Linked DNA regions of Notamacropus eugenii. The protein of the gene in region 4 purifies or fractionates together with the protein of the main gene of each other region. This does not show direct contact. Links are inferred from orthologs where the notes say so. Each region holds a gene or a part of one and is shown on either strand. Other genes may lie near its edges. The genes, in order: ATG7, SKP2, SIRT2 and FOXO1.

Evidence for each region.
Region 1: the proteins of FOXO1 (region 4) and ATG7 purify together in Homo sapiens (affinity purification with western blotting; 4 studies listed by BioGRID). This does not show direct contact. The link is inferred for Notamacropus eugenii from reciprocal best matches to the Homo sapiens genes FOXO1 and ATG7.
Region 2: the proteins of FOXO1 (region 4) and SKP2 purify together in Homo sapiens (affinity purification with western blotting; 4 studies listed by BioGRID). This does not show direct contact. The link is inferred for Notamacropus eugenii from reciprocal best matches to the Homo sapiens genes FOXO1 and SKP2.
Region 3: the proteins of FOXO1 (region 4) and SIRT2 purify together in Homo sapiens (affinity purification with western blotting; 3 studies listed by BioGRID). This does not show direct contact. The link is inferred for Notamacropus eugenii from reciprocal best matches to the Homo sapiens genes FOXO1 and SIRT2.

The regions. Positions count from the first base shown.
Region 1 is NC_092874.1:433,684,330-433,692,024, reverse strand, and holds the start of ATG7 (ubiquitin-like modifier-activating enzyme ATG7), read left to right. Parts: upstream 1-4,595; 5' UTR 4,596-4,682; intron 4,683-4,992; exon of another isoform or gene 4,993-5,172; intron 5,173-7,695. UniProt on the Homo sapiens protein: E1-like activating enzyme involved in the 2 ubiquitin-like systems required for cytoplasm to vacuole transport (Cvt) and autophagy.
Region 2 is NC_092875.1:424,995,062-425,002,489, forward strand, and holds the start of SKP2 (S-phase kinase-associated protein 2), read right to left. Parts: upstream 3,173-7,428; 5' UTR 2,922-3,172; coding exon 2,636-2,921; intron 1-2,635. UniProt on the Homo sapiens protein: Substrate recognition component of a SCF (SKP1-CUL1-F-box protein) E3 ubiquitin-protein ligase complex which mediates the ubiquitination and subsequent proteasomal degradation of target proteins involved in cell cycle progression, signal transduction and transcription.
Region 3 is NC_092876.1:32,024,363-32,031,422, reverse strand, and holds the start of SIRT2 (NAD-dependent protein deacetylase sirtuin-2), read left to right. Parts: upstream 1-4,017; 5' UTR 4,018-4,144; coding exon 4,145-4,160; intron 4,161-4,399; exon of another isoform or gene 4,400-4,486; intron 4,487-4,634; coding exon 4,635-4,681; intron 4,682-5,173; coding exon 5,174-5,222; intron 5,223-5,334; coding exon 5,335-5,451; intron 5,452-5,773; coding exon 5,774-5,815; intron 5,816-5,977; coding exon 5,978-6,084; intron 6,085-6,327; coding exon 6,328-6,384; intron 6,385-6,584; coding exon 6,585-6,653; intron 6,654-7,060. Other genes in the region: CCER2 (coiled-coil domain-containing glutamate-rich protein 2), read left to right, coding at 1-170, 603-680; NFKBIB (NF-kappa-B inhibitor beta), read right to left, coding at 1,089-1,124, 1,310-1,558, 1,991-2,079, 2,517-2,754, 2,871-2,976, 3,377-3,579. UniProt on the Homo sapiens protein: NAD-dependent protein deacetylase, which deacetylates internal lysines on histone and alpha-tubulin as well as many other proteins such as key transcription factors.
Region 4 is NC_092876.1:103,132,933-103,140,946, forward strand, and holds the start of FOXO1 (forkhead box protein O1), read right to left. Parts: upstream 3,041-8,014; 5' UTR 2,637-3,040; coding exon 1,983-2,636; intron 1-1,982. UniProt on the Homo sapiens protein: Transcription factor that is the main target of insulin signaling and regulates metabolic homeostasis in response to oxidative stress.

The DNA.
Region 1 (7,695 bases), on a different chromosome or scaffold from region 4:
AAGGAAGAGAGTTTAACCCCATGGGGGGCAACTGACAACTGGACAAGTGGGAGAGTATGGAACCCAGGGAGATTACCAGGGAAATGTAGGGAAAAAGTCAAGAAGGGGGTATAGATAAGGGAACAGGGGGATAGGAGGTACCCTACTGTAGTGCAGTGGCCTCTCTGACATCTGAAGTATTGGCATTGTTCTGAGAATGAGGGATAACAGAAAAGGGAAATCCATGAGGTAATACCAACAAGGCAGTGGAAGAAAGTTCCTAGAGAGTAGAGCCTAGAATGGATACATAGGGAGCTTTTATTGTATAAAGAATAAAGAGAAAAGAAAGAGACCAGATGATTATAGGAGTTATGAACCAGAAAATGAGGGTATAGAGTAAACAGAAATGGAAGACAGATAATGAAGAGACTAAAATCCTTTTTGGGAAGGGGTGCAAAAAGTGAAATAAAAAAAATAATGAACAGGATTAGCTAAAAGAAAGGAGAGGAAGACAGAATCTATATGACTAACAGAGAGAAAAAAAGGGATAGAAATATATAGTCAGATAAAAATAGGAGATAAACTAATAAGAAACCCTAAAGGGAAAAGGATAACAAACGAGAAGAAGGTATCAGGGAAGAGAGTCAATGGGATCAAGACCACCTTTAAAAAAGATTAAAACAAAGTAACTAAAGGAATATAATACTGTATTTACCACAGAAGAGGGGAAAATCATAATTTGACAAATGTATTCTTAACTAAACAAAAGATAGGGAGTTACAAAGGATAAAACTGATAACCTTAGTTACTTAAAACTGAAAAGCTTCTGCACAGATAATATTAATGTATCTAGGATAAGATGCAAAGTGATTGAATGGGGGAAAAAAATCTTCATATCAAATTTCTCTAAAAACAATTTCTCTGATAAAGGTTTGGTATCCAAGAAAAAATATATATGTAATATCCACACGCACATACACACACACACCCTCACACACAATTAATAGCCATTCTCCAAAAGATAAATGGTCAAAGGATATGAATAAACAGTTCTTAAAATTCTGCAAAGTATTCACAACCACATGAAAAAGTGGGGGCGGAGCCAAGATGGTGGAATAGGAGGGTGACCTGTAGAAGCTCTCCTGCCACAGTCCATAAAATACTTGCAAAAATGACTAAACAAATTCTAGAGCAGCAAAAGCCCCAAAATGACTGAGGGCAAAAGATTTCCAGCCCAACGTAGCCTGGAAGGTCGACAGGAAAGGTCTATGGTACTGGACTCAGAGCAGGGTGCAACCCAGTCTTGGCAGTGCTGTGCCAGGGACAGGACTGGAGCAGGTTGGGGCATGGAATCCCAGGCAGCAGCTGCAGCTCCAAGATCCCTCAACCCACAAACACCAGAGACAGCTTCAAAGGTCAGTGAGAAAACTCTTTCAGCTGGGTGAGAGGGGAGCAGGGTCCTCCCCTAGCCTGGGCCCCAGGCTGTGGGAGCAACAACAGTGTCCATTTTTGAAACTCTCAGCCTAAAGCCCCTGGGGGAATTGAGCCAGTGATCTGAATCTCAGCCCTGAGTAGCAACCCTGGGGTGAAGAGGAGCACTGGTGGTACCTCTGGAAAGGGAACCCTGCTGGCAGATCCTGGGCAGAATAGAGTGCTTGTGGTTACTCCCAGACCAGAGCACAGGCCAGGAGAGGAGTAAACTCCTCTCCCTTGACTGTGCCACCTTGGAGGAACTGAGAACTTACAGGTCCCCAGAGTATACCCTCCTCTTGACAAAGGACTCAAAAGTCAAGTAACTGGCTGGGACATTGCTCAAAAAAGGGAAAAAAAATGAGACTGTAGAAGGTTACATCCTTGGTGAACAGGTATTTTCTTCCATCCTTTTGGTTGAGGAAGAACAATGCATACCATCAGAGGAAGACATAAAAATCAAGGCTTCTGCATCCAAAACTCCAAAATAATATGCAATGGTCTCAAGCCATGGAAGAGCTCAAAAAGCATTTTGAAAATAAAGTAAGAGAGGTGGAGGAAAAATTCGAAAGAGAAATGAGAGCAATGCAAGAAAATCATGAAAAACAAGTCAACATCTTGCTAAAGGAGACACCCCCCCCCCCAAATGCTGAAGAAAATAACACCTTTAAAAACAGACTAACTCGGAAAGGGTCCCACATGCACAAAAATATTTATAGCAGCACTCTTTGTGTTGGCCAAAAATTGGAAATCTAGGGGATACCCATCAATTGGGGAATGGCTGAATAAATTATGGTATATGAATGTAATAGAATACTATTGCGCCATAAGAAATGATGAACAGGAAGACTTCAGAGAGGCCTGGAAAGACTTATATGATCTGATGCTGAGCAAAAGAAGCAGAATCAGGAGAACTTTGTACACAGCAACAACCGTAATGTGTGAGGATTTTTCTGGTAGACTTAGAACTTCATTGCAATGCAAGGACTTAAAAAATTCCCAATGGTCTTTTAAGGCAAAATGCTTTCCACATCCAGAGAAAGAACTATGGAATTCAATCACAGATTGTAGCAGATCGTTTTCTTTTGTATTATGTTTTGGTTTGTTACATGATTTCTCCCATTCATTTTAATTCTTCTATACAACAACATGACTTTGGTGAAAATGTATTTAATAGGAATGTATGTGTAGAACCTATATAAAATTGTATGCCATCTTGGAGAGAGAGGGGGAAGGGGGGGAGGGAGGGGGAGGGAGGGAAAGAAAAAAATCTAAGTCGTATGATAGCGATTGTGAAACACTGAAAATAAAAAAAATAGACTAACTCAAATGGCAAAAGAGGCCCAAAAAGCCAATGAGAAGAATGCTTTAAAAAGCAGAATTAGCCAAATCGAAAAGGAGGTTCAAAAGCTCACTGAAGAAAATAGTTCTTTAAATATTAGAATGGAGCAGATGAAAGCTAACGACTTTATGAGAAATCAAGAAATTACAAAACAAAACCAAAAGAAAGAGAAAATAGAAGACAATGTGAAATATCTCACTGGAAAAACAACTGACCTGGAAAATAGATCCAGAAGAGACAAAAAAGTGCTCCAAATCATTAATAATAAGAGAAATGCAAATCAAACCCAACTCTAAGCTCTTACCTCCTTATGTAAAAGAAGGAAAAGGAGAGGGAGGGATACATAGGTTGTATGGTGATGTGAGCATCTTGAGAACAGGGATTCTCTTCTGCCCTTCTTTGAATCTCTGGCCCTTATCATATTGCCTGGCATATAGTAAGTTCTTGTCTCCTGAGGAACCTGTATTTGAACCCAGAAGCAATAGAACTGAACTTGGGACAACTGATTGGTCTAACATTGGAAAAAGAGTATGACAAGGCTGTATATTATCACTTCATTTATTTAAGTTATATGCAGAGTACCTCATTCAAAATGCTAGGCTGGATGACTCAAAAACCAGAATTAAACTTGCCAGGAGAAATCAACAATCTCAGATGTGCAGATGATACTACTTTGAAGGCAAAAAGTGAAAAGGAATTAAGAAGCCTTGATGAGGGTGACAGGGGGAGCACATAAAAGCTGGCTTGGAGCTTAACATAAAACAAAACAAACAAAAATACCCCTAAAATCTTGGCAACTGGTCCCATCATTTCCCTGGTAAATAGCAGTGTCAGATTTTATATTCTTGGGCTCAAAGATCACTGCAGAAGACACTTGCTCCTTAGAAGGAAAGCTATGGCAATCTGGAAAGCATAGAAGAAAGCAGAGATATCACCATGCTGACAAAGGTCGGTAGAGTTAAAGCTGTGGTTTTCCTAGTAGCAAGGTATGGCTAGGACAGTTGGACTATAAGGAAAGATGAGCTCAGCACAATTGACTCTTTCCAGTTGTGGCCAGGGGAGGCCTTTTTGAAAGTCCCCTACACAGCAAAGTGATCAAATCAGTCAATACTAAATTCATTCAGACTATTCACTGGAAGATCAGATACAGAAGCTGAAGCTTAAATGCTTTGACCACATAATGAGCAGAACTCATTGGAAAAGACCTTGACGTTGGTAAAGACTGAATGTGAAAGGCATAGGGGAAGGCAGAGGATGAGTTGAGGGTACAGTGTCATGGAAGTAAGGAATGTGAGCTTGGACAGACTTCAGGAGATAGTGGAGGAGAGAGGACCCTGATGTGCTGTGGTCCATGGGGGTCAGGTAGAGTCCCACAGGCCTAGACAGACATATGAGTCTTTAAAGACATGCTAATTAAACCCAGAAGAGGGACATCCAACTCCTTCATTTTACAGATGAGGCCGCTGAGGCCCTGCCAAGTTAAGTGACTTTGCCAGGGGACACAGGTGGGAATTGTGGCCGGCTTCAGGATTTGTCCCCCGGACGTGACTCCCATCCCTGTAAACTTGTCCTTGTACCACCCTGGACCTCAGAAGGAGGACTGGGACCAGGACAAGCAAGATAGCCTCTACCTGGCAGGAACACGTTTGGTATATTTCATTCGGAGGCTGGTCTCTCTTGATTGGTTCTTCCGTGTTTGACCACTCCCACACTCCACGAAGCCCCACCCACTTTCCCTTTAGGCTGCCTCCCCTCCCACTTCTTCCCTTGTATTTCAGTTCCGCGCCGCTTTTCCTCTGGGGCATGCGCACTCCCCACCAAGTGCAGGCCCCTCCCTCGGGGGGGCGGGATGAGCATACGTCATCAGGGAGCGCGGGGAAGAGGCGCTGCGGTAAGCTAGTCGCCGGCTGGCTGCTGCCGGGGGTTTCCGAGGGAGAGTCGGGGGTCTCCGAGGCGTCTGTGACTCTGACAGTTAGAACCCCGAGGGCAGCTTTCGTGCTCGGGCTCCCGGGTGCAGAGAGCGGCGCTGGGGGCCAGGTCGTGAGGGTGTCCGGCCGCGTCTCGTCCCGCGTTCTCGCGGGCGGGGGCCCTGAGATGCAGCTGCCTGTCCCGGCCCGGCCCCCGGCCCTCGGCCCGCCGCCTCCCGAGCCCCCGGACTCGCTCCTGGCCGAGCCCGTTCCGAGAGCCGGAAGGGTCCGGAGCGGGCGGAGACCTCGGAGCTAGTCTGGTCCCGCTCCTGTCTTTGTACAGCGGAGGAAACTGAGGCTCAGGGGCTGGGGGCCGCGCCGACCTCGGCTCCCGGGCCCTCCGGCGCCCAGCCCCCCTCACTTCCCGTGGCTCCTGATCGACTTTAAAAGTATTTCTCCCCGCCACCCCCCACGGTAGAGTTCTAACCCTGGAATGTCTTTAACCTTCGTCCAGCCCCAGCTGCGATCTGTGCAGAGAGCTGGGGGCGATGAGGCGCAGTGGGGGGTGTTCCCAGAGACCCAGGGTCCAAGGTGGCAGTGCTCTGCGGGAGGTCGATCCCAGGAGCTCTCGGAACTCTGGCCGAGCCTCTGTTTGCGTTCTGACTTGCTTCTTTGGAAAGCGGGGAGGGGGAATGAATGGGGATGAGTTGCTGGATTCCTAACTGGGACAAGCCTCCCTTCTTTTGGGTGGGTCTGTATTTAAGGGGAATCTGAAAGAGAAGCAACCAAACTGTTCACTTCCCTATAACCTCATTCTGCAGTTTAGGGAATTCCCTTGCATTCCAGATATATACAGAATAATTTCAAGAGGGAGAGAGTACTAACCATAGCCCGGATGGATACCCGAGAGAGGCAGAATTAAGGAGGGAGTGCATTCCAGACAGGAGGGGACCACCTGTACAAAGGTGAAAGTGTGTATATGGAGAAACAGCCAAAAGGAAAGTTTGGTAATGTGAAGCAGTGTGAAATAATTCCAGAAAGATAGGTGGTGGGGGCAAGATTTTGGAAGGCTTTTTCAATGCCAGACTGAGGATTTTGTGTTTTATGGTTTTCTGTTGGATAGAGGCTGTCCCATATTAGATGCTTAATAAATTCTTATTAATTTCACATGGTCAGATCTGTATGGTAGGAATATCAGTTTTACAGCAATGTGGAGAGTGGGTTAGAGGGGGGACAACTGGAAATAGGAATGCCAAGGAGTTTTTGCAATAGTTCAGAGAGATGATGTCCACATGAGCTAGGGAAGATGTTGTAACATGATTGTATAGAAAGGAGAGACGTGGAGGTAGAATCAACATGATTTAGCTAATAATGAGATGTGGAGGAGAGAAGAGTTTCTTATCAGAGTTGTCAGTCTGGATGATTGGAACCAAGGTAGTGAGTGCCCATAATAGATATAAAGGAGTGGTGAAGTGATAGGGTTTTTTTGAGAAATGCAGCTTTGGAACATTTTGAGCTGAGATGCCTTTAGGACGTGTGTGTGTGGTGTGTGTATACATGTGTACTAGGTGACATTTATATGGTGCCAGCCATATGTTAGGGACTTACAAAATATTTCATGTGGTACAAATATTTCATTTGATCCTCACAACAACCCTGGGAGGTGGTTATTATCCTCATTTTACGCTTGTTGAGGAAACTGAGACAAACGAGAAGCAATTTGCTTAGTGGTCACATAGCTACTAAGTGTCTGAGGTGGGACTTTGTATTTAGGTCTTCCTGACTTCAGACCCAAGCCAACACTCCATCCAGTGTGCCTCCAGTGCCCCTTCTTAGGATTTGGATAATTGGAGCTAAGGGAGCTGAGGAGACAAATCATTAAGAGTATAGATGGAGAAGAGGCGGTTCAGGATAGAGTCTCTACCCATAATTAGTGGGTAGGAGTAATAGGATGATATAGCAAAGAAGTGTGAGAAGGATTGGTCCGAAAGGAGAACCAAGAGTGCTGTGTAATGAAAGCTAAAGGGGCTGGAGGAGGGGGAGGGGGTGATTGACTGTCAGAAGCCACAGAAGGACCAAGTACGATGAGAATTGAGAAAAGGCCATTGGATTTAACAGTTAACAAGATCTTATCTTGACAGAGAGAAGTGTCATTCCTGTGGTGAGATTGAAAGCCAGACTATACAGATTTAGAAAAAAGGGGACAGGAAGAGGTAGAGGTAATGAGATAGATAATTTCTAGGAATTTGGTTGTGAAAGAAAGTAGGGAAAAGGTAAAGAGAAAAGAAAGGGGAGGTAACAGCTTAAGGGAATGTGGGTGAAGTGTCTTGTTTAAGTAGGAGGGGAACAGGCCTATTTTAGACTTGTGGAGGAACCATTGTATAAGGAGAACTTTAAGGGGAAAGAAGGCTGGAATGATATAAAGGGCAAGTTCTAGAAGAGACTCATTGGGATGGATTTGAGAGTATAGCATACAAGTAGGGGTTTGCCACTGGCAAGGCAAAAACTTATTTCTTCATCAGAAACTGGAAAAGTTGGGAGGAGAATTGGGGATAACGAAGAGCCATTTTGCTGAACAGAGTGGAGGAGGAGAAAGGAATCTGATGGATGACCTTCTTTTAAAACATAGCAGAAGACAGGGTCCTCTTCTATTTTTAAATTCAGTTTTAGTTGGTTTTATTTTTTTCTCAAATGAGAATCCTTGTCTCCCTTCTGCTTTGCCCCCTTCCCATTTGAGAAAGCAAGAAAAACAAAATCCCTGTTCCTAACATGTATAGATAAGCAAAACAAATTCCTGCGTTGGCCAGGTTCAAAAGCATTGCTTCAGTCTGCACTGAGTTCATTACCTCCAAAGTTGTTTGTCTTATAACATTGACTTATGACTGTATTAATTCTCCTGATTCTAATTACTTCACAATCATCAATTCATACAAGTCTTTACAGGTTTTTCTGAAATCATTCCCTTCATCATTTCTTATATTACTTGTACAGCCATTC
Region 2 (7,428 bases), on a different chromosome or scaffold from region 4:
TTGACAAAAACTGCTGGGAAAACTGGATAACAGTGTGGCAGAAACTGGACATAGACCAATGCCTGATACCTTACACAAGAATAAAGTCCAAATGGACACATGATCTAGGTATAAAGGCTGATACTATAAACAAATTAGGGGAGCAAGGAATAGTGTATTTGTCAGATTTATGGAGGATGAAGAAATTTATGACCAAACAAGAGACAGAGAACATTATGAAGTGCAAAATGGATAATTTTGATTACATTAAATTGAAAAGTTTTTGCACAAACTCAATGCAACCAAGATTAGGAGGGAAGCAGAAAACTGGGAAAGAATTTTTCAAGTAGTGTCTGTGATAAAGACCTCATTTCTAAAATACATAGAAAACTGAGTCAAATTTATAAGAATACAAGCCATTGTCAATTGATAAATGGTCAAAGGATATGAAGAGGCTGTTTTCAGAGGAAGAGATTAAAGCTATCCGTAGTCATATGAAAAAATATTCTAAATCACTAGTGATTAGAGAGATGCAAATCAAAACAACTCTGAGGTACCACATCATACTTATCAGAGTGGCTAACATGACAAAACAGGAGTATGATAATGTTGGAGAAGATGTGGGAGAGTTGGAACACTAATTCATTGTTGGTGGAACTGTGAGCTGATCCAGCCATTCTGGAGAGCAATCTGGAACTATGCCCAAAGGGCTACAAAAATGTGCATACCCTTTTACCCAGCCATATCACTTCTAGGACTGTATCCCCAAGAGATCATAAAAATGGGAAAGGGTCCCACATGTACCAAAATATTTATAGCAGCTCTCTTTGTGGTGGTCAAGAACTGGAAATCGAAGGGATGCCCATTAATTGGGGAATGGCTGAACAAGCTGTGATATATGAAAGTAATGGAACACTATTGTGCTAAAAGAAATGATGAACAGAAAGACTTCAGAGAGGCCTGGAAGGACTTATATGAACTGATGCTGAGTGAAAGGAACAGAACCAGGAGAACTTTGTACACTGTAACAACCACAGCGCAGGAGGACTTTTTCTGGTAGACTTAGACAACCACAGCAACGCAAGGACCTGAAACATTCCCAATGGACTCTTGAGGCAAAATGCCTTCCACATCCAGAGAAGGCTATGGAACAGGACTGCAGAATGAAGCAGAATATTTTCTCTTGGGTTATGTTTTGTTTTTTCTCATGGTTTCTCTCATTCATTTTAACTCTTCTATGCAACATGACTAAGGTGAAAACGCATTAAATAAGAATGTATGTATAGAACCCACATGAGATTGTGTGCCATCTTGGGGAGGGAGGGGGGAAGAAAGGGTAAAGAAGGAGAAGAAAATCTAAGACTTATGGAAGTGATTGTAGAAAACTGAAAACATAAATGAATTTAAAAAAAGAAATGAGTCTATTATTTTGATATTGCACCTCACTGCTTTCCTCTCTTCCCCTCGGGATAATCTAAATTGTTTGTAAGGTCAGTAGCCTTTGAAACCAGACTTAGGCTGCCTCTGTTCCAGAACTTCATGGACAGAACAAACTTTTTAACTCCTCCCCCTACTTCTCAGGTAAGGTCATCACTTAATCTAATACTTACTTAGCCTTTTGCCACAGGGGAGTAAGCCTTTTGTTGTATTTCTGTCTTTTTAGTATGCTTAACTCTCCCTGACTCCATTTATTCAAACCATTTAGGGTTTTCTTGGCAAAGACTGAAGTGGTTTGCCATCTTCTCCAGCTCATTTTACAGATAAGGAAACTGAGACAACCAGGGTTAAGTGACTTGCCCAAGGTCACACAACTAGTAAGTGGCTGAGGCTGGGTCTGAACTCAGGAAGAGTTTCTGACTCCCTGTCTGGCACTCTAACCTAGGAGTAAGCCTAAGGTCCTTAATTGCCCATCTAGGATTCAGTGCTTATCCAATACCAAGTGTAGAGACTGTAGAAAAAAGGCCCATGCATAAGTACAGGGCAGTACTGCACAGTATAAACCAAAGCACAAACCTGCAAGATCTTCACCTTACAAACTCTTCCCCATGATTTATGTATTCACTTCTGCATGTCACAAATCTAGTGAAAAGGTTGGAATGTACCTAGATATATCTTCAAGCAGATCATGACCAGAAGGTAAAAATTTTAAATGTTCCTGGACAAGACTGAAGGCATTGGCTAATCTATATTTTTTGTTGGGAACAATAATTAAATCAGTTTAGAAAACAAAGGGTGAGGAACATCCCTGTACCAATATAACTGTCTTAAGTACTGAGACTAGCCAAAAGTCACAAATCCAGTATGTGTTAAGATGAGGGACACCAGATCCTGATAGCTCTGTCCCCCATATACCATTTCATAATTCAATGGACTCTCCAAACTGAGATCTGCAAATATAATACATCTGGAAACACTATTGGATTTAGAGTCTGAAGACCAGGATTCAAGTCCTGATTCTGACATATACTTACCTGTCTTGCCCTAAGACCTTATTCTTACCAACTTTCTCATCTGTGGAAAGAGGGGGTTGAACTCCACGGGCCCCTTTCCATCTCCGAACCTATGATCTGGTGCTTAGCGGTCATCCCTAAAAGTTTTCTACTAACTCCTGGAAGTGTTGCAGTACAACAAGCAAACTTCAGGCTTTCAGACTTACCTGAACTATTCTCTTTGGATTGCCTGGGCCTGCGGGCAATTACAAAGTCCTTTTCCCTGGCTTTCACCTTCTGCTTCTTGGGCGGAGGGGCTGGCGTGAGGAGCAGCTCCTGGGGGATGTTTTCAGTGTCCACCTTTTCCTTCTCCAGAACTGCAACCCCCATGCCTGAGAGCAGATCCGAGGTCTTGTGGAGGTCCCAGCCCCACGTGAAGGTGAAATTAACATTGCTGTTTGTATCGGGAATCTCCTGGAGGTGTTTCCTGCAGGAAATTGACAAGCTTTCCATCAATGAGCATCCCCCCCACGAAGCGTCCGAGCCAAACCAACCCGGGCTGGCACAGGCAGCGAACGCACAGGGGAGTCTCAGCCGTCCGGGTGGCTGCTAAGTGGTGAGCTGGGGTACATGTGCATTTATCTAAAAAGCCTAGAAGGGGAGGGGGAGACGGGGGAGAGGAGGAAAAAACACGAACCCCCACGCCCGGCCGGGGAGGCTGGAGAGAAGCTCCCAGAGCCACGAGGCCAGAGCCTCCATTGGCCAACTTACCGTGCCCCTAAGCGCCTAAGCGGGGAAGGCTAAACAGCGCAGGTCCAGGGGAGAGGCACAGCATCCACATTTTCCTTCTCCTCCATACCTCCGCTGTGCACCCCCGCAAATAGGTCTGGTTACCTGTGCATGATGGACTTGCCGGGGCAGACTAGGGGATTTAAGTCCTCGCATGAATGGCTCAGCCCCGGATCTCCAGGCTTCCCGCGTCCACGAGCCGCAGCCGCACCTCCACGCCCCGCAGGCAGAGCCGGACCCAGCAGGGCAGCGTCCCATTCAACCCGCGCGCGGAACCTTTTCCCTCTCTCGGTAGGCGGCCCCGGACAGGCGCGCTGCCTGCTGGGATTTGTAGTCTCCTTCCTCCTGCCAAATCGTCGGTCTGCGGCCGTCTCTTCAGCCCACTCTTCGTATTCTCGCGCGCCCCTTCTCACTTCTCCTCCCACTCCGGCCCCGCCTACGATAACCCAGAAGCCCCTGCGGGGCGGGACGCCAGCGAGGCCTGGGGAGAGCGGTGACGTAGGCACGAGGAAGCGGAAGGGAAGGAGGGGGCCGGCGGAGAAATGTCACCGGCCTGAAGGCAGCCGGTGTTCCTGCGCTGCCTGGCGCCCTGCTCCGCGCTCACCCCGAGACGGCGGAGGCGCCGGCGGGTCCTCGCGGCCCCTCTGCCCGTTGGCCCACGGAGCCCCCCGGCGGGACGGTGAGATCGGGGCTCCGGGAACGCGCCGTGGGGGACGGCCGAGGCGGGGATGGCGACCCCGAGGGCCCGCCGCGCCTGCTGAGGGGGGCGCAGTCGTCCGGGTGAGTCGGGGGCAGCGGCCGGCGAGGGGCGGCTCCCCGGGATCCCGAGTCTGTCCTGGGAAGCATCACCACACTGCGGCCGGGGGTGGGGGTAGGCGTGGAAAGGAACGGGGGGGGTCGCCTGCCCCCTCCCCCGGGTCGTCACCCCGTAAGGTGCGGGTCCTAGGGCCCAGACGTGGAGGACATCCCCCCCGGGATGACGGAACCACTTCCGGGCCCCGGGCAGGACGGGCACCTGCGGCTCCGGGCGGGCCTCCCGGGGGGGGGGGCGGGGAGGACGCTTTCTGCTCCGCTGTTAGGCCCCCCCCGCCTAATGCCGCAGTCCCTGAGCAGCCTCCGGGTCCTGCTTCGGGTCCTGCCCCGGCTTTGCTCGGAACCGTGGAAAGATGACGTATCTGTGGGCACAATTAAGCCTCCTTCCCGCCGGATGTGAGTGGTTATTGATCTCAGTGGTCAGCTTCTTTGTGGATGGACGCACGGACGGACGGAGGCTGGGATGGATGGGGAGGGGGGTGCGTTCTCCCCTTTCCTTTCAGGGAATTCCTGATCCCGGAGGTTAGGGTGCCTGTGAGTCTGAAAATAAAAGGAGGCTTTGGGGAAACAAAAGGGTGATTGCTAAGCGGTAGCGACGATCGATACCTCTTGAATTGGCTGTCTTTATTTCAAACTACGTCAGCTTGAGGCTTCCTCTGCGTAGTTCACTAAACTGAGGTGGTTCTTGTAAGCGGATGATCTTTATTTTCCCAGCCATTTTTAGCTTCGTTATCGTGACATTATCGTGGCGGGGACGCGCCCTCGCCTCTTCTGTCAGTCCGGAAGGTTCGACAGTTCTTCCATCTCTCCTCTGGGGAAGAAGACATTCAAAAGAGCGTTTCAGTGCAAATAATTATGTTTTTATCCAAAAGAGTACGTCTAGGTCAAAGAGGACGTGTGCCCAAGCTACGTGCAAACCCTTTTGTCTTTACCCCTTTCCTTTGCACAGATCGTTGATAATTAACTAGTGACTACGGTTAGAAAACCTGGAGATACGGGAAGGGTTCCATAAAGACTGGCTGTCTGTCTGCGATATCCGTCTGCAGGCTAGGCTTTCTCTTGACTCATACCCTCTCTGGAATGTGGCGTCTTTGGTGTCGCTTAGTGTAAGGTCTGAAGTTCCAGTTTGTGAATTAGGAACATCTCTCATTCAGCCCTCACTTCAAAGGTGTGCAGGCTACGGGTGGGTGGACTGTGCAGGACCTCTTGTTGAACCTCCTGAGTGGAGCTCTAGAGAGCCCAGTCCTGCCCTGGAGGAACAGGTGTCCGCAGACTGCAGCCTCCTCAGCGTGCTTCATGGGGGTTAGTTTATTATTCATCATATTCAGTCCTGACCCATCATCTTAACTCCCTTCAGTTTATCTAAATTATTGAGAGTGTTAGCCTAAAACCAGCTTTTGTCCATTTTAAACTTGGAGTCATCCAGCCCATCAGCTTCAGTTAGATGTTTTCCACAAGCTTTGATTGCACCTGGCTTAGATTTAGCATTTCCTGAGTAATACAGACCCTTGATGAATTTTAGGTTTTTTTGTATTAAGGCTCACTTCCTTAACACCTCGTTTTGCATTTACACAAAGATATGATTCTTATTCCATGACCAGGATTATTGTAAAGAGATTTATTAGTGATCTAGGTAAGTGAGTTAATAATGGGCTTATTGTATTTGATGCCATTGAGCAGGGATTTGCCAACACTTTGGAAGCTTGAAATAGAATTCACAGTGATGGTAAAGGAGACCTGTCTCTATTGGACTAAATCCTACTGGGATGTGTAAGGTACTTGGTGGCAAAAACAGATACAGGGGGCGAATGGCAGAGCACGGACGTAACAGAATAAGAACAAGGAATCACAGCTGACTACAAGTGGAATTAGTTATAGGAATAAGGATAGTGTAATAGTATCAAAAAATCAAATATGCTAAGAATTCATTTTTATAGAAATAATGGCACTGAAGCCAGGCTGAAATTGTGGGAATAGTAGATGGAGAAAGCTGGCCTCAGTCAGGGAAACTTGGTTTGGTGCTGACATATTACCGACTGACCCTGGAACAGTCACTTTATCTCCAGTGCCTCAGGCATCTGCTTTGGTGGTGAAAGTTTACAGTTGAGAACTTGAGTTCTCTATGCCACTGAAATCACAGATCTCAACCACACTTATACTTGCCGCCTCAGCTGTAATGATTATCACCTACATTAAATAAGAACTGGGATGTAATCCTTTTAAGTTCTCTTTGGCTCTTAAACAAACAAAGAGGTAAAGGTATTAGGGATATTTGTTTACCTTGTGGATAAATGGGCAAGGTCCATGGTGTATAGTCAGAAATTTTAGGTACCTAAGTAGAATATTCCAGAAAGCGTCTCTTACTTTGTTAAATATAAAACATTCTCAAAGTAGGTATGACTTCCTTGGTTGATATTTGTAATGATAAAGGATAAAATAACTATGTGCCTTAAAGGCATATTTAATTAAAACTGACTCCTTGTCTTCCTACTTTACCCTCACATAATGTCCACCATAAGCAGTTAATCTTCAACTAATTCAGAAAGTTTAGTATTTCTTGAAAGTTTAATACTACGCTTTACGCTGCTCTGAATTTTTTTTCTCTTTACAACATTCTAGCATCTACTCTACCCTTTGTCATAGTTACTCTGGTTCTGCCTTTTGAGACTTCTTTAGTTTCTGGATCCTAAACATTGTAGGAGTTTCTCAAGGAGTTGATAGATGAAATAAATAGGGGTTATCTAATGTTTATCTTGAAGTATATGAAGAGTGTTCAAGGTGAAGATTACAGATCAATTTTTTTTATCACAAAGGATTGAACAAGAGAAATGAACTTAAATTCAAGAGAGAATTCTTGGAATTTATTTTTGTTACTAAATGTCATTTTTTTCTTTATTAATCTCTCCCATTCCCTTTATCTAAATCATGGATCAGGGTAAGAAAAAAACTAACCAAATAAAGCCCTCATTACAACAGCTGTAGGCTTATGAAACAAACTCCTACTTTGTGTCTGAAAATGCATGTCTTATGTATTTTAATTTATCACCACATTGTCAAGAGGTATCATGTTCCATCATTTTTTGGACTTGTGTTGGTCAGACTTCTAAAGTTTTCCAAATTTGTTTTACTCTACAATTTTGATATTGGGGAAAGTCGTTTTCCTAGTTCTCTTTGCTCTACATCATTTCATAGAGGTCTTTCTCGAACTGTCCCATTTTTTAAGTTTCTTTTGGCAAAGTAATGTTCTGTTACTTTTGTACACTGTGGCTTGGTTAGCCATTCCCTAATGAGAGGATACTCTTTTAGTTTCCAGTTTGGGGTTCTCATGAAAAGAATTGCTCTAAATATTTTTGTACAAATAAATCCTTTTCCTCTTTTTCTGATTTCATTGGAATATGGTCCTAGTAATGATATAGCT
Region 3 (7,060 bases), about 71 Mb from region 4:
GCCAGGGTGTGGAGAAACGTGTGGCAGAGGCTGCCAGTGAGGAGGAGACAGCCCAGTTTGAGGAGGAGAAGGGGATGAGGGTGTGGCAGGGGGCTAGTCCAGCCAACAGATACCAGCACCACCAGCCCCGTTCTGAACAGGAATCTGAGGAGGAGATGGAGGCAGAGAAGGTGAGCCAGGAAGGCTGCTGGTCCACAGGGGACAAGGGTGGCCAAGGTGGCACATGGAGGATGGAGGGCAGAGGGGATCAGGAAGGCTCTGTCCAAGTCCTGCCTCAGGCAACATGCAGTGCCTACTATGGGCCAAGCACTGGGGTGTGTGCTGGGGGTACAAGAGAGGGAAAAGACAGGCCCTGCCCTCCAGGAGCTCATAGCCTAATGGGGAGACAACGTGCACACAGATCTATAGGCTCTAGTCAGTATGAGTAGCAGAGGGAGGACCCAGAGGGGCCTGCCTGCATGGGCAGAGAAACTTCCTTAATCTGGGAATGGCCTACATGGATGAAATCCTGGCCTCTGGAGGCCAGAAGAGGCATGGGGTGATGAAGAAGGGTCTCCTTAGAGCACTAAGTGACATCCCTCTCCCCGCCCCCCCCCCCCCAGGAACATGAACTGGCTCGCCTGGAGCAGATGGGGGAGGAGCTGAAGAAGGCAGCCGAGGCACTGGGCAGGAGGGGCTGAGAAGCAAATGTGAATGCCAGGCACCTGCCCCACCCACCCTCGCTCATCTCAGAAAACTGGGCTACGGACTGGTTCCTGCCCTTCTTGATCAGCCCCTCTCCAGGTGGTGGGGGGAGGGAGCAAGAGAGGGTCACCAAGAAAACAGACTGGGGGGGGGGTCAGAGATTTCTGCCCCACCTGCTCCCCTCTCCCCCAACGTAAATAAAGCACAGATAAAAGCATGCCTTTCCTCCCATTGGTCTGTTTCTGAATTCAGATGCTCTGGCCCCAACAGATCCCTGGACACTCCAGCCAGGGGAATGAGAGTTTTATTGAAATTAAAGCTTTTCTACAAAAAAAAAAAAAAAAAAGCAAAGAAATTGGCTAGAGATAGCCAGCAGGTGAGGAAGGTGTGCCTCAGTTTCCACTTCAGCTTCCGTGGACCACGATGTCATCATACTCATCCTAGAGGATAGTGGAGTCAGGAATTGATTCTCCTTCATCCTGGGCCTCCCCCCAAGTTCCCCATCTCCCATCAACCCTCCCCTTCTGGAACGATCAGTTACCAGACCACCCTTCCCCAGTGCTCTCTCTTCTTCCATCCCATTCATCCAAGTTTCTCACTGGCTGAACTCCCCCAGGTCACTTACACCTTCATCAGTATCGCTGCCTCTCGGGCTGGAGTCTTCCTCTTCCTCAGACTCAGGTTCCGGGGCTCCATGAGCACGCAGGAGACGGGCGAGGAGGGGGTCTGACCTCAGCGTGGCACTACCCAGCGGGGTACGGCCTCCATACATTTGGGCCTTGGGGTCTGCGCCGCCATCCAAGAGTAGCTCCAGGACCTCAGCTGCCTCTGCCTCCACAGCCAGGTGGAGGGGACTCCGCCCACACGTGGGCTCCTGATTGGGAAAGAGAGTGCATGTAAAGGACATGTCCCCCCTTTCTGGAGCCCCAGCCCCCACCCCCTCATCTATCCCTAGTCACTACTGCTGACAACAGTCTCTTCCTAGAGGTTAGGCCTGTCCCCCATTTGAAGGACCTGGTATCTTCATGCCTAACTCACCTTGTTTTTCAGACCATGTATGATCTGAAGGGGACCCCGCTTGTCTCAAAGAAGCCCCTCTGCCCACTGTGGGTCGATGTCTGTTTTATAGCTCCCTCTCAGAGGAAAGCAGTAATCTCCCTCATTTAGACTCCCCCAATCTAGAGAAAGGAGCTGGGGGTGCGGAAAAGAATCTCACAGAACAGATACATGGAAGGAGGGGAACAGCAGCATGGGAAAAGGGAGGAGGGCCTGGGAGTTGAGGGCAGACAGGGTTCTGTATCCTTACTGGTTTGTTGAGATCTGCCCCTGCTTCCCGGAGCAGCTGAACCATCTCTGTGTCCCTGTGGATCACAGCCACATGGAGCGGAGTGTGGCCTGTGGAGTTATTTTAGAGAAACAAAGATTTAGAAGGCCTTTAGGGAATACATTTAGAAAGCATTTAAGGCAAATGAGCATACTCAAAGGAAATGGGAGAATATGCATTTAGTGGGGATCTGGCCCTAAGTTCAAATCCAGCCTCAGACACTCACTTGCCTGTGTGGACTGTCCCTGGGCTAGTTCCTGAACTCATTTGTCTCATCTGTAAAACGGGGAAAGCAGGGGAAAGTGATGACACCTACTCCACTGGGTTGTTGGGAAGATCAAATCAGATAATGCTGGGAAAGCCCTTGGCACAGTGCCAGAGGCAGAGTCACTCCTATGTCCACGTAGCCATGGCTACTGTTTGCATCCCCCTTGTTGGGAGATGCTTCCAGCCCCCAGGAATCAGGCTGCGTCCATGACAGTGGGGAGAAGCATTGGCTGGGCCATACCCTGGTAGTTGGTGCACTCCAGCTGCTCCCGTCTCTCCTGCTCCTCCTCCTCCTCCTGGGCTGTCTGGCCCTCAAGGGGCCCCAAAAGGGCCCGGGCACAGGCATGAGCCCCAGCCCTGCAGGCCAGGTGCAGGGGCGTGTGCCCACCTCGCTCTGCCACACAGAGCCCGGCCCCTGCGGCCCGCAGCTTCTGAGTGAGGGCTGCCTCCCCCAGAATGGCCGCTATGTGCAGAGCCGTCTGTGGACAGAGGAACACAAGTGCAAGCAGAAGCCAGTCAGTCCTGGGGGTGGGGGGTTGGGAGGGCCTCTTCCTGGCCCTGCCGGCCCCATCCACAGGTAGGGGAAGGACCTCACCTGGCCCAGGTCATTCTGGAGATCCAGGTATTCAGTACCTGCCGTGAAGTGAAGCAGGAAGTCCAGGAAGGCTTCGTGCTGGTGAATCACTGCCAAGTGCAAGGCCCTGGGCAGGGGGGACACAGAGGGTCAGGGAGGTGGGGGTCGGGCCACCTTCGAGGCCCCGTTGCGGGGCAGCAGGGGAGAAGGAAATTAAGCTCCCTAAAAGAGTCACCGTTCAAAGGGAAAAGAAGGGGGTCAGGCGGGGTCAGGGGTCAGAGGCCAGGAGGTTTGGAGAGGGACAGAATGTAGGAGCAGGAAAACTAATCCAAGCCATAACTCAACGTCCCCTGTCCCAGGTGATGGCCTGAGGACCCCCGGGGCCTCCTAGCCCTGCCTTCACACCTCCCCTCCCTCCCTCGGTTTCCCCTCCGGTAAGGGGCGGGGATCCCCCCTCCACCTTTCCACGACCCTGGGAAGGGGAGAGCCTTGGGGGCAGGGGCAGGGGCAGCGGGCCGGCCCCTTACGTGTCCCCGTCGTCCGTCACGTAGCCGAACACCTCGGGCGCCCAGCTAGCTGGCTCTTCGTCCTCGTCCTCCTCCGTCCTGTCCCGCGGCCCGTCCGCCGGGGGCCCGAGCCCATCGGGCCCTAGAGACCCGAGCCCGCTGTCGCACCACTCCTCCGCGAGCCCGCTGTCCCCGGACTTCACGGGCCCCGCCGGGGCCGCCATGGCCTACGCAGAGCCCTCCCGTCCCGGGCCCCCCCGGTCCATCCAGAGTCTTGGTCGCCACAGCCGCCGGCCCGGGGATTCCGCGGACCCGGGGAATTCCCCCTGCTCCCCAACTCGCTCAGCGCTTCGACCAATCAGGGAGGGTCGCACCGCCCTTTTTAGAGATGACTGCCAATAAGATCGCGCAACCTTTCCGGCAGGGCTCCGCCCCTCGCACCAAGTTGTCCAATAGAGGCAATAGACGCATTTGGTCGGCTCGGCTCGTGTATCCGCCCTCAGTCCCGCTTTACCCGGACGGCTTCCGGCGCCAGGCACACTGGGAATCGTGGTTTCTCTGTGAGCGGTGGGTCACGCCGGCCTTCAACACGGCGGAAAGACGGCGCGGGGCATTGTGGGATTCCCGCGATGGCCACATGCTCTTCTGGGAATTGTAGTCCATAGCCCGCCCTGCCTGCCCCCGCCCCCGCCCGTGTCCTGCGCCGTCACGGGACGGAGCAGTCGGTGACAGCCCCGAGGGCCCCTGCCCGCCCCCCACGCTGCTGAACCCATCCCCGGGGCCGGGCCCATGGCCGAGGCGGACCGTGAGTCGGGGCACGGGTGGGCTCTTGGGCCGGGCCTAGGACCAGGCCCTCTGGGCGAACGGCTATGGGGACTCGCCACCCGGAAACCACCGCGTGGGGCCCCGATCTAGGGTTGCGGGGAGGAGAATGGGTTGGGCCCTGGGGGCCCCAGTCTCCGCAGCGCCGGCTAAGGCTGGTTGGGAGCCAAGATGGGGGGTCCTAATTCCTGGGGTGTCCAGTACCTAAGGGCCTCGTTTTAGGGTGGAAGGAAACAGGTGCCGCGGCTGCTGCGGGGTATGTGGTGGAGTGGATCTGGTTACCAAGGACCGTGACCTCTGGGAAGCCTGGTACCTGGTTGCTAAGGGCCCCTCTGCACCCCTGCCCGTGGCCAGTTGGGGTCCCCCTCCCCGCTTCTCGCTCCCGCCGCCGCCCCCACGCTAACGGCCTCCCACCCCCCCTCCAATGTAACCCTGTCTCCCTACCCCCCTTCCCTAGCCCCCGGTCCCCCTCAGGACGAGGCAGGGAAGGTGCAGGATGCTCAGGTGAGAGGGGGCGCCCTTGGACGTTCGTGATTGGCTGGCCGGGGAGGGGACGAGGTCTGTGATTGGCCGCTAGGGGAGGGAGAGGACGTCTATGATTGGCCCGTGAGAGGATCCGCGCCTCCCCCGCCTGCTCCCATCACTCATGGCTCTCCCCGGCTTTCCCCCAGGGAGTGGGTCGCCCCGTGTCCCAGATCCACAGGGCTTATTCACCCCGCCCCCAGCCCTGAAACAGCAGATCCGCCCGCCCATCCCCCATTCCGAGGACCCTAACCCCCTCCTTCCCCACCTACCCTTCCCTCCTTTGACCTCCTTTCCCCAAACTGTGCCCCTCCGCTTCCCTCTCTGGCTCTCCTTTCTAATGACCCACCTTCCCTCTGACCCTCTTTCCACTGACTCCCCTTTCCCAACCCTCCTCCCGTGATCGTCCTCCCCAAGCGCCAACCCTCTGGAGCCCCCCTTGACCCTCCTCCCTCTCTGGCCGTTTTCTCCCAGGACTCAGATTCAGAAACTGAGAGTGGAGCTGCATCTGGAGAGACAGAGAGTAAGTTGTCCTGGGTGGTGAACTGGGGGGGGGGACAAGACTGGCTGAAGCCTAGTTGGGACCAGTGCCTGCCCTCTTCCTGCATAACATCATCCTCTGGTCTGCCCCACAGTGGACTTTTTACGGAATCTCTTCTCCCGAACCCTGGGCCTGGGCAGCGGGAAGCGAGAAAAGTTGTTGGATGAACTTTCCTTGGAAGGGGTGACCAAGTTCATCCAGAGTGACCAATGTGAGTTCTTGCTTCTCCCCATCTCCTTTTCTTAGCTCAGGTTGTCTACAGGATGTGCCTTACCCCATCCACCCAACCTCAGCTCCCATGTCCCGGGTTGGGACCACTTCTCTCCCTCCCCTTACCCATTCCTCAGGAAACCCAGTGAGACACATCCAGACCAGGTGAGAACTCAGGACTAAAGGGTGGGACTCACCTTAGGATTCCACAGGGCCAAAGCAGTCCGGGTAGGGAAGTTGTCCTTCCAGGGAATGAGACTAGAGAAACAACCCCAAACTGCTCTGGTCTTGAGGTCTCTCCCCTCACCTTTTTTCTCTTCCAGGTCAGAATATCATCTGCATGGTAGGGGCAGGGATCTCTACATGTAAGTAGCTGCTTCCCTGTGCCCTCAGGTTCCAAACTCCCCCCAGAATGGAGAAGGGGGGCCAGATCCCCAAAGGAGCTAACCTAGGGGTTGGGATAAGGCCCCTCTCACCAGTGAGGTGGCCTCCCCCAGGGATGCCTCTTCTATTACCCTTGTCCCCAGCTGCTGGCATCCCTGACTTCCGCTCCCCGTCCACCGGCCTCTATGCCAACTTGGAGAAGTACAACCTTCCCTACCCTGAAGCCATCTTTGAGATCAGCTACTTTAAGGTAAAACTGTCATTAAGAACACCCCACTTTTCAAGTTTTCACAGACTCCTTGGAGGGAGAACCCTTCCCTTTCCTGAGCCTTCATGCTTTCAAACACTAGCAGGGCAGATCCTGCAGCTAAATCCTTCATCTTATCAAATATCACTAGTGGGCCCCCCAAATCTGGGCTGCTGATCCTGGGTAGGGGATTGTAAGGAGTGAAGGGTTCACGTATCTTCATCTGTCTTTGTCTGTTTTCCCCAGAAACACCCTGAGCCCTTCTTTGCTCTGGCCCGGGAGCTGTACCCAGGGCAATTTAAGGTGAGCTTAATCAGAGGAAAAGGAAAGGAAAGGTACACAATTGGGGGACAGAGTCAGGGCTTCCCCATCTGGGCTTGGGGGGGGTGGGCTGCTCCCCACAATGGGTGGGAGAAGAAACTGGGAAAGTCCCAGTTGTCTAACCACATCAAAGACAATGTGTGTGTACCCCTTGGCCCTCACTCCCCTCCACCCCTCTGTAGCCCACCGTGTGTCATTACTTCATGCGCCTGCTCAAGGAGAAGGGCCTACTGCTTCGCTGCTATACCCAGGTGAGGGCAGCCAGGGAAGGGGGGAGGATGAAATGCCCACACTCTACAGGCTGTGTCCTACAGAGGCAAGTCTGCCTTGCCAGACCCAGTGGGCAGCCCCCCAGATGGGCAGTGGCACCAAAAATATAATTCTTCCCCAAAATAACCACAGTGCATCATTTGACTTCATTTGTCCTTTATAAATACTTTTGAGTTTTATTTTTGGAAAGAACAAACATGTTCTATGATATCTCTGTGTTCGAACGTTAAATTGATGACTAGCCAATTCTTTCTTACCCTAGTCAGATTTTCTTTCCATCCATTCTGATGTGAACTTTCGATTTAGTTTAATTTCAATAAATAATTTTCAGACGCTGTGGCGGAAAGCTGGGTTACACACCTGGGCAAATGCACAGTTCCAATTTCAG
Region 4 (8,014 bases):
ATGTAAAAGAACAGACGCCTTTCATAACTTTCTCATGAAAGGAAGGGTTATATATGAGGTGGTAAAATGATACAGAACACACCTTAAAGTAGCGTTTAAGGCATGTGATTATTTTCAAATCCAACACAATGAAAATTGTTAAGGAAACAAAACGAGTTACTTGAGGAAGAGCTTCCAAATAATGTTAAGTAGTTCGACCTTTTGGTCACACGTTAATTAACTACGTGTATGACCTTTATGTAAAACAACTTTGTTATAACAATTGCCCAACAAGTCTCAGCTCTGGTTATGCTGTGAACCTCAAAATGGGGGAGGGGGGGAGGGAAGGAGACTCAAGAGAAAGACTTTTGGTCACACTAGTGAACAACTGCTATGGTTTTCAACCCTTATGATACCATTAGAACTGGCTGTGAAGAAAGGACCGGCAGGACCACTGAGGGATGGTCCTCCCAGGTTTCTGCTTCCTCAAAAGTTGCTACCGCTTATCTCAGAAGCCTGATGCAGTAAGTGAATAAGTCCCATATTGAGTCTAAAGGACAGAATGGTCTAAAACACTGTTACACCCAATCCTCTTTTAAGGAAAACTTCAGAGCATTCTTTCATGCTACTCAATTTATTTCTACCTGGTCCCCACACTGTCCTGTAACAGAAAGGTCCCTGACACCGTACTTCAATGATGTATGGCCCAAGGTGAATTAAATTAAAACCTCAGTTCTTAATTAGAAGATTTATACATGAGGCCAGCCTAAGTCGGGAAGCGCTTCCATCTTTTCCTACCAACGCAATCACAGGCCCGGAGATTGCATTTATAACCCAAAAGGGTTTGTCAGATCTCGGGAAAAGGAACTGGCCCTTTAAAAATGCTGGCTTTCTTAGCTCAGTCCCTCTCCAGGCAACCACCCCTGAGGTCCCCTCCCTCTCACCCCACCCCCTCCAAAGTGTCACACTTGAACTTTAACTCAGCTAAAGCAGCTCAGCGCCCGTAAACCCCGCCAGCTGTGGCCGCCCCTTTGCACGTGTCGGATGAGCTATCCCGGGTTCTTTTAGCTGGTGCCCAGCCCCCTGAACCCGGGGTCACTTCTGATAAATCAAAACAAAACGAGTCCTGGGTCTTCCAAGAAAACTATAAGGCCCGGACCAAAACAGCTTCCTCAAGCTTCTTTTCCTCCACCTGCCTGTTCCACACTCCCCGAAGTCCAGCGCACGCACCTATACATACACATACACTCACCCTACACTACTCTCTCTGTCACATCACCCCTGTTTTGCTGCCCCTCTAGGTTTCAGGGGAAATGGCATCACGGCTCCGCACCAATTTATGGATTACACACTGCAGAGACTCCCGGGGCTTCCAGACCCTCCCCCTGCACTTCCCTAACAATATTAAAGAAGGAATCGTTGAATTTGGACTTGGAGGACGTGGGTTCAACTCCCGGCTCTTTCCCTTTAATATCTGCTCGACTTTGAGTTTCCTAGTCAGTAAAACGAAGGAGTTGGACTAAATGACCTCTAGGTCCCTTCCAGGTCTGAGTCTAAGATCGGATGACAAGGAAATGGGCCTGCTGCGTCAAGCCTTCTCTCGCTTTCCTGGTCCCGACCCCAGCATCCACTCCACATGTATCATCACTGCATATGTACCCGTCTTTATTCCCAAAGGATCCACTTGAAAGAGCCCCCCCAGCCAAAACACACACTCACAGACACGCACAGACACACACTTCCTGCAAATCTCAGAGTTAGCCCTATACGTACACTACTATAGAGTTCCCTGCAAACAAGGACCGGACACTGGTGGGGGGCAGCTAGCTCTACAGCTGCCCCTCCTCGTGGGTACAAACCCGCACGCCTAGCTCCCCGTAGCCTCCTCCTTCTTCCCACATCCCGGAGCTGGTGGTGACCACCGCGCACCACCGCATCACCCTCGTGGCTTCCCTTGGGCACCCTCCCCCCCACTCCAGGGGTGCGGGCTCGGACGGCCTCACCTTCCAGCCGGCAGAGCTGTTGCTGTCCCCCTTATCCTTGAAGTAGGGGACGCTCTTCACCATCCACTCGTAGATCTGGGACAGGGTGAGCCGCTTCTCGGCGGAGCTCTCGATGGCCTTGGTGATCAGGTCGGCGTAGGACAAGTTGCCCCAGGCGTTGCGGCGGGACGAGCTGCTCTTGCGGGGCTGGCCGGCCAGGGGCCCCGCCGAGGCCGGGGGCACGGGGGGGTGCTGCTGGAGGGGCCCGGGCTGCGGCTGCTGCTGCTGCTGCTGCTGCAGGCAGGTGGTCTCCGGACACTGGAAGTCCGCACAGAGTCCTCCCGCGGCCGCCGCCGCCGCCGCTGCCGCCGCCGCCGCCGCAGCAGCAGCCACGGCCGCGGCCGCCGCCGCCACGGGACCCGAGGGCTGCTCGAAGTCCTCGCTCTCCTCCAGAAGGCTCAGATTGCTGATGAAGTCCGAGCTGACAGCGGCCGAGGCGGCGGACGCGGCATCCCCGGGATTCCCTGCCCCGCCGCCGCCGGAGGGGGCCGGACTGGAGGTGGCCGAAGTCGACTGGTTAAACTCCGGTCTGGGAAGGGGCCAAGTGCACGACCGAGGCCGCGGCAGAGGCTCGAAGTCCGGGTCGATCTCCACCACCTGAGGCGCTTCGGCCATGGTGACCCCCTCCCCTCCCCCCGGCCACAAGAGAGCGAAAAGGAGAGAAACCAGAGGAAGGGGTGGGGGAGGGGACTTCTCCGGAGTTAAATGCTGGGCTGGGGGTGGGGGAGGGGAAAGCGGGGGTGGGAAGGGGGGCGTAGAGAGAAGCAGGGGAGCTGGGCAGGGGGAGAGAAACCAGAACTTAACTTCGTGGGCTTATGAATTAATGCCTGCGCTTCCCCCGAGCTGCTGCTGCCGCGGCTCCGGCGGCCGCAGTGGCAATGGCAGTGGCAGTGGCCGCCGGACAGCAGGTTCGATTCGGCCCGGAGCTAAAAAGGGGCAGAATCCGCCGCCGAGGCGTCCAGCGGGCGAGCGCGGACGGCGGCGGCTGGGCGGGGGCCGCGGCCGTGCCTCCACGGCTCGCGCGGGTCAGCGGAGGCGGCCGCTGCGGCTGCTGCTCGGGCTCCTGCTGCCTGTTGAATGTGGCGGCGGCTGGCTGAGGGAGCAGCAGCAACTCGCCGGCCCACACCAGACTTACGGGATCTACTACCACCACCCAGCCGCGGGGCGGAGTCCCGGCGAGCTCCCGCCCCCCCGGCTGAGTGGCTGCTGCGCCGCAGCCAATGGGAGCGCGCGCGCTGCTCGGCAAACGCCTGGCTTGTCAATTTCGCGGGGCTCCTGTTCCAAGGGGAGGAGGAGGCAGTGGCTCAGTTTGGGGGGTGGGGGAGGTGGGGAGGAGGAGGTTTTCGTGGTTTCTCTTTTTTTTTTTGGATCCTTATTTTTCTGGTAATTCTCGAGTGTGTTTCTGTGAGACTGTGTTTTGATTTCGGCGAGGTAAATCCGCGTGGAGGCGGCGACCGCCGTTTGTTTACTACGGAGCCGAGGAGAAGCCTGGGAGGGACCCGAAGTCGCGGAGATGTGGAGCCTCTGGGGCGGATCGTGCAGCCGCCGCGGGGGTCCTCCCCAAACCTCGCCCTGCCTCTTCGTTCTTGGGGTGCTCAGAGGATGGGGAACCCCCGGGGGCAGGCGGCGGCGTGTGCGTGCAAGGTCTACAGGAATTCTAAGCGCTTTAGAAAAACTAGCGTGGAGAGAAAAGAAATGTCGTGAATTTTTGTGCAATCACCTATTTCGAGCCCCACGCGGAATTACTTCGGTGGGATGCTGAAGTCAGGCGTTCTCTCTCTCTCTCTCTCTCTCTCTCTCTCTCTCTCTCTCTCTCTCTCTCTCTCTCTCTCTCTCTCTCTCTCTCGCTGCTTCTACAACCTCCCCCATACCTACCCCGGCCACGTGCAGAACTCCGAGACTTAGCCTTGATGCCGAGGACTGACTGACAGCTCCATTAAGCAGGGCCAGCCTCCCCTCCTCCCCCTTTCTGCTTCCCTCCCTCTCCGTGAATCCTTTCCATTTCCTCCAGGAACCTAACCACCCACCTGGCAGCTGCAGCCTAAGCAGAAACTGGAGGACTGACGGAGTCCTGTCAGACCTAGGGTCAGGTCGGCTCAGCCCAGTCCTCACTGCCCCTTTCACCCACCAGTCAGGAACGGACTGAACAGAGTGACACGCTAGATGGACCTCGATCCACTCACCTAAAAATCTGAGATTGGTCGAAGAAAAGGGAAACAAGAGATCCTTGTTCCACATACCCAGGGAGGCAGAATTCATTCTTAACATGAAGTGGAACCTTTCTCTCCCCCTGTTTCATTAGCAGTTGGCTGAAAGGATTTCCAGCCTTAGTCTGGGAGGACACCTTTCCCTGGGAGGTCAGGAAATGCCTAACGGGGGTGGGAGTTGGAAGGAGGGGTGGTAAAGAGACCATATTGTTATCAGCACAAACAGTCCGGGAGGACTGGCTCTAGTATTCAATGTTTAACCTTTTGTGGAGACAGCTGATGGTAAGAAGAGTCTGAAGACCTGGGTTCTTAGTCCTGGGTCTGCTACTCTGTAACCTTGGGCAAATCACTTAACTTCTCTGAGCTATTTCCCCATCTGCAAAATGAGAGTATCGGATTCGATGACCTACAAGGCCCCCAGGTCTCACAGTCTAATATGCTGCTAATGCCATTTGTCTCCCAGTTAAAAGGGCTAAAAAGGTTTGGGTTTGGGTTTTGTTTTTGTTTTTTTAAGATGGGTAATATGCCCAAATCTCTGTGCTACATACTATCCAGCCCTACTCCCACCCCTAAAGGACCCCCAGGCTGTAATAAGATTTTTTGTCTTCTGGGCCAATCAAACCTTGACTCTTCTCCTTCCCCCTCTCCCCAAGCAGGGCAACAGGTCCAGGAAGTCCTGTAGAGGGTGAATGGGGCCAGAAGTAGAAAGACAATGGACCTTGTGTCTCAGAAAGCAGGAGAAATAGATTTCTATTTAAGTTTTTTTTTTTTTAAAGGAGGGGGTGTGGAAGACATTTCCTTCCAGAGAGACAGAATCACTTAACATAGAAGATGAACAACTGGGTTGTTTTTTTTTTAATATCTTGTCTAAATTGACAGCTGCCAGTTCTAGACAATCTCCTTTCTTCCCACCAACAATTATAAAACTGGTAAAGGGTTAGAATGTTATGGCTCTTTCTGCAAAAAAGAAGCAAGAAAGAAAGACAAATAAAAATCTCATATCCATCCCTTCATTTCCATTTCAATTGCCTTCACTCTAGTAGAGAACCGCCCCCCCCCCCCTCCATCACCTCACACCTATGTTATTTGCAATAGGCCCCTATTGATTTGGATTATCCTGATTCCTTCCTATTCCAAGCCATTCTCTTGATGTTTGTCAGACTAAGAAACCACCTTCATGTTTCGATCATTCTACAAGAACTGCCTCATTCCAAACTTCACATCTAAATTTCCCTGCTTGGCTTTCAAGTCCATCTACAATCTGGGTCTATCCTACCTGTCCCATTTTATTTTCATCTACTCCTTAACATAAACTCTTCACTTTAGAATGACTGCACTACTTTGAATAGTACTAATTCTTGCTTCCTTGTTGCTTTGTGTTTGGTTTCTTGCCCCTACCTAAAATGAACTTTTCTTTCTTTGCACCTTTCCAATTAGTACCTGTTCTTTGAGGCCTAGAGCAAGACTCAGGAAGACTTCCTGAAAACTCTAGCCCACGATGACCTCTCTTCCCTTTGAACTCATGGCCCTGATTTCCTGTTCCACTGCCTGTCGTTTAGCATGTAATTATAAATAGTACTGCCTTGTGACATCACTTATACTGTTGTTTGGTTTTTGCCATTTAACTCATATATATTACATTTTCATACTGGTATACCTTATTTCCCCAACTGCTCAGTAGATTCCTTAAATGCAGATACTGAGTATGGTACTTCTTTGTAGCATCCCACAGTGCATTATATAGAATTTGTACTCAATTAGTGTTGTTAGTAGAAAATAAGGAGGGTACAAGGAAGAATTATAGTAAAATATTTGTCACTTCTATGGGGGTGAGTTGGCAGGCAGTGTTAATGGTACAAAAAATGTTTCAATGAAACATTTAAAATATACAGAATGAAACATAAGGAAGTTCAAGGGAACACAATCAGTGAAGTTTTGTTATTCAGGTTGAATCTAATATACACCTAAAATACTAGGTAATAATTAACAATTTTGTACACAATACTGTTTTTCATTTGTTGTACACTGAAATGCTCATGTTTGTCATTTGTTAATAATAAAATATAAAAATGGAAACAATTATAGTCAAACACCAGTTCTCCAAATTCTTATGGTAGGGTTGCTGCAACCCCTGACAGGCATGTGAAAACCCTTCAGTATTTAATTACATTTCACATTTTATCGCCTTCAAATTTTTATCCTTACTCCACTACCCCTTATAAGGTGGCGTATAGAAAGTTCGAAGAATCAGAAGCCAGAAGATCCAGGGAATAGTCTCCGTTCTATCACTTACTAATTTTATTTGTTGTTGTTCAATTGTGTCCAACTTTTTGTGACTCTGGGGTTATCTTGGCAAAGATGCTAAATGGTTTACCATTTCCTTCTCTAGCTCATTTTATAGATGAGGAAACTAAGGCAAACAAGATTAAGTGACTTCCCCAGAGTCACACAGCTAGTAAATGTCTGAGGTCACACTTGAACTCAGGTCTTCCTCACTGCAGGACTGGCACTCTTTCCACTTAGCCATCTCGTGCCCCTACTAGTGGTATAGGGCCAACCACATAACCTCTACATAATAAAATAAGACTAACTTGCTTTAATTTTTAAAATATTGCCAGATCTTTTTCCCCCTAATCTGTTCAAGGAGGAGACTGAAGACAGTGTCTAGGTTCTAATATATCTCTGAATCTATGATACAACTGAAGAAACCTTTCAAATCAATAAATATTGACCATGCCCCTACTATAGCCAGGATATTGTACTAGGCACCGTGAAAAATGCAAAGCTTATATAAAACATAAATAGATATTCATCTCACTCAAGTTGTTAATTGAACATTTCCTGTAATTCCCCACCCACTGCCTCCAAGGGGGCCCTGACTTTGCTTTTCTTGAATATTGGAAGGGTTTCTGTCACTTCTCTTCAGAATCATAGGGTGCTGAGTTCCCCTACCTTGGTTACCAATGCTTAAAACAAAAAAACTTCTGAAATTCTCCAGGAGGACAAAAATCACAATCCATTTGTCTCTCTCTCTCTCACACACACACACACACACACACACACACACACACACACACACACACACACCCTCATTGTCATCATTATCATCATCATCATCCTCTTCCTCCCTCAGTAGGGGAGTAGCGTACCTTTGAATACACACCCATAGTGCCACCAGAGGGCACCCAGTAACCCAGGACTTGCACCTGGAGTTGACACAGTAAATCCAAGTCCCAATTGTCTTCATAACTAGCCATACAGATGAACAAACAAAGTTTTTAAGGAAAAATTACCTCCAAGTGCTCCAAGGCCTCTGTCTTGATAGAAAGGTAACTTCGTGAAGTAGATGGTACTCTACATTTGAAGTCAAGGAGTTCCTGGGTTTGAATCTTGCCTCTGACATTAACTGCAGTGTGACCTCAATAGGCAAATCATGAGCATTCCACTTAATTATCAATAAAGTGGGGAAACATTAAACCAGTAGTACGTAGCTCACAGGACTGTTGTAAATCAGCTCAAATGAGAATGTGTGCAAAATGACTTACAACCCTTTGAAGAAGTTGTTGGGTTAAGTGGAAAGTCTCCTGCTCTTGACTCTGAAATCAATTCACTGTGAGGTTGAGCAAATCACTTATCCACATTGGTTCTCATTGTCTGCAGCTATCAATTGGAGTTAAAATTAAAATCCCACTTCTTCACAACCCCACATTCTGAGTGTGAGATCAGCTAGGCAATCTCATTTTGGTCAAGGCTGTCTCTGCACCTTCCCCTCTTGAACATCTCTAG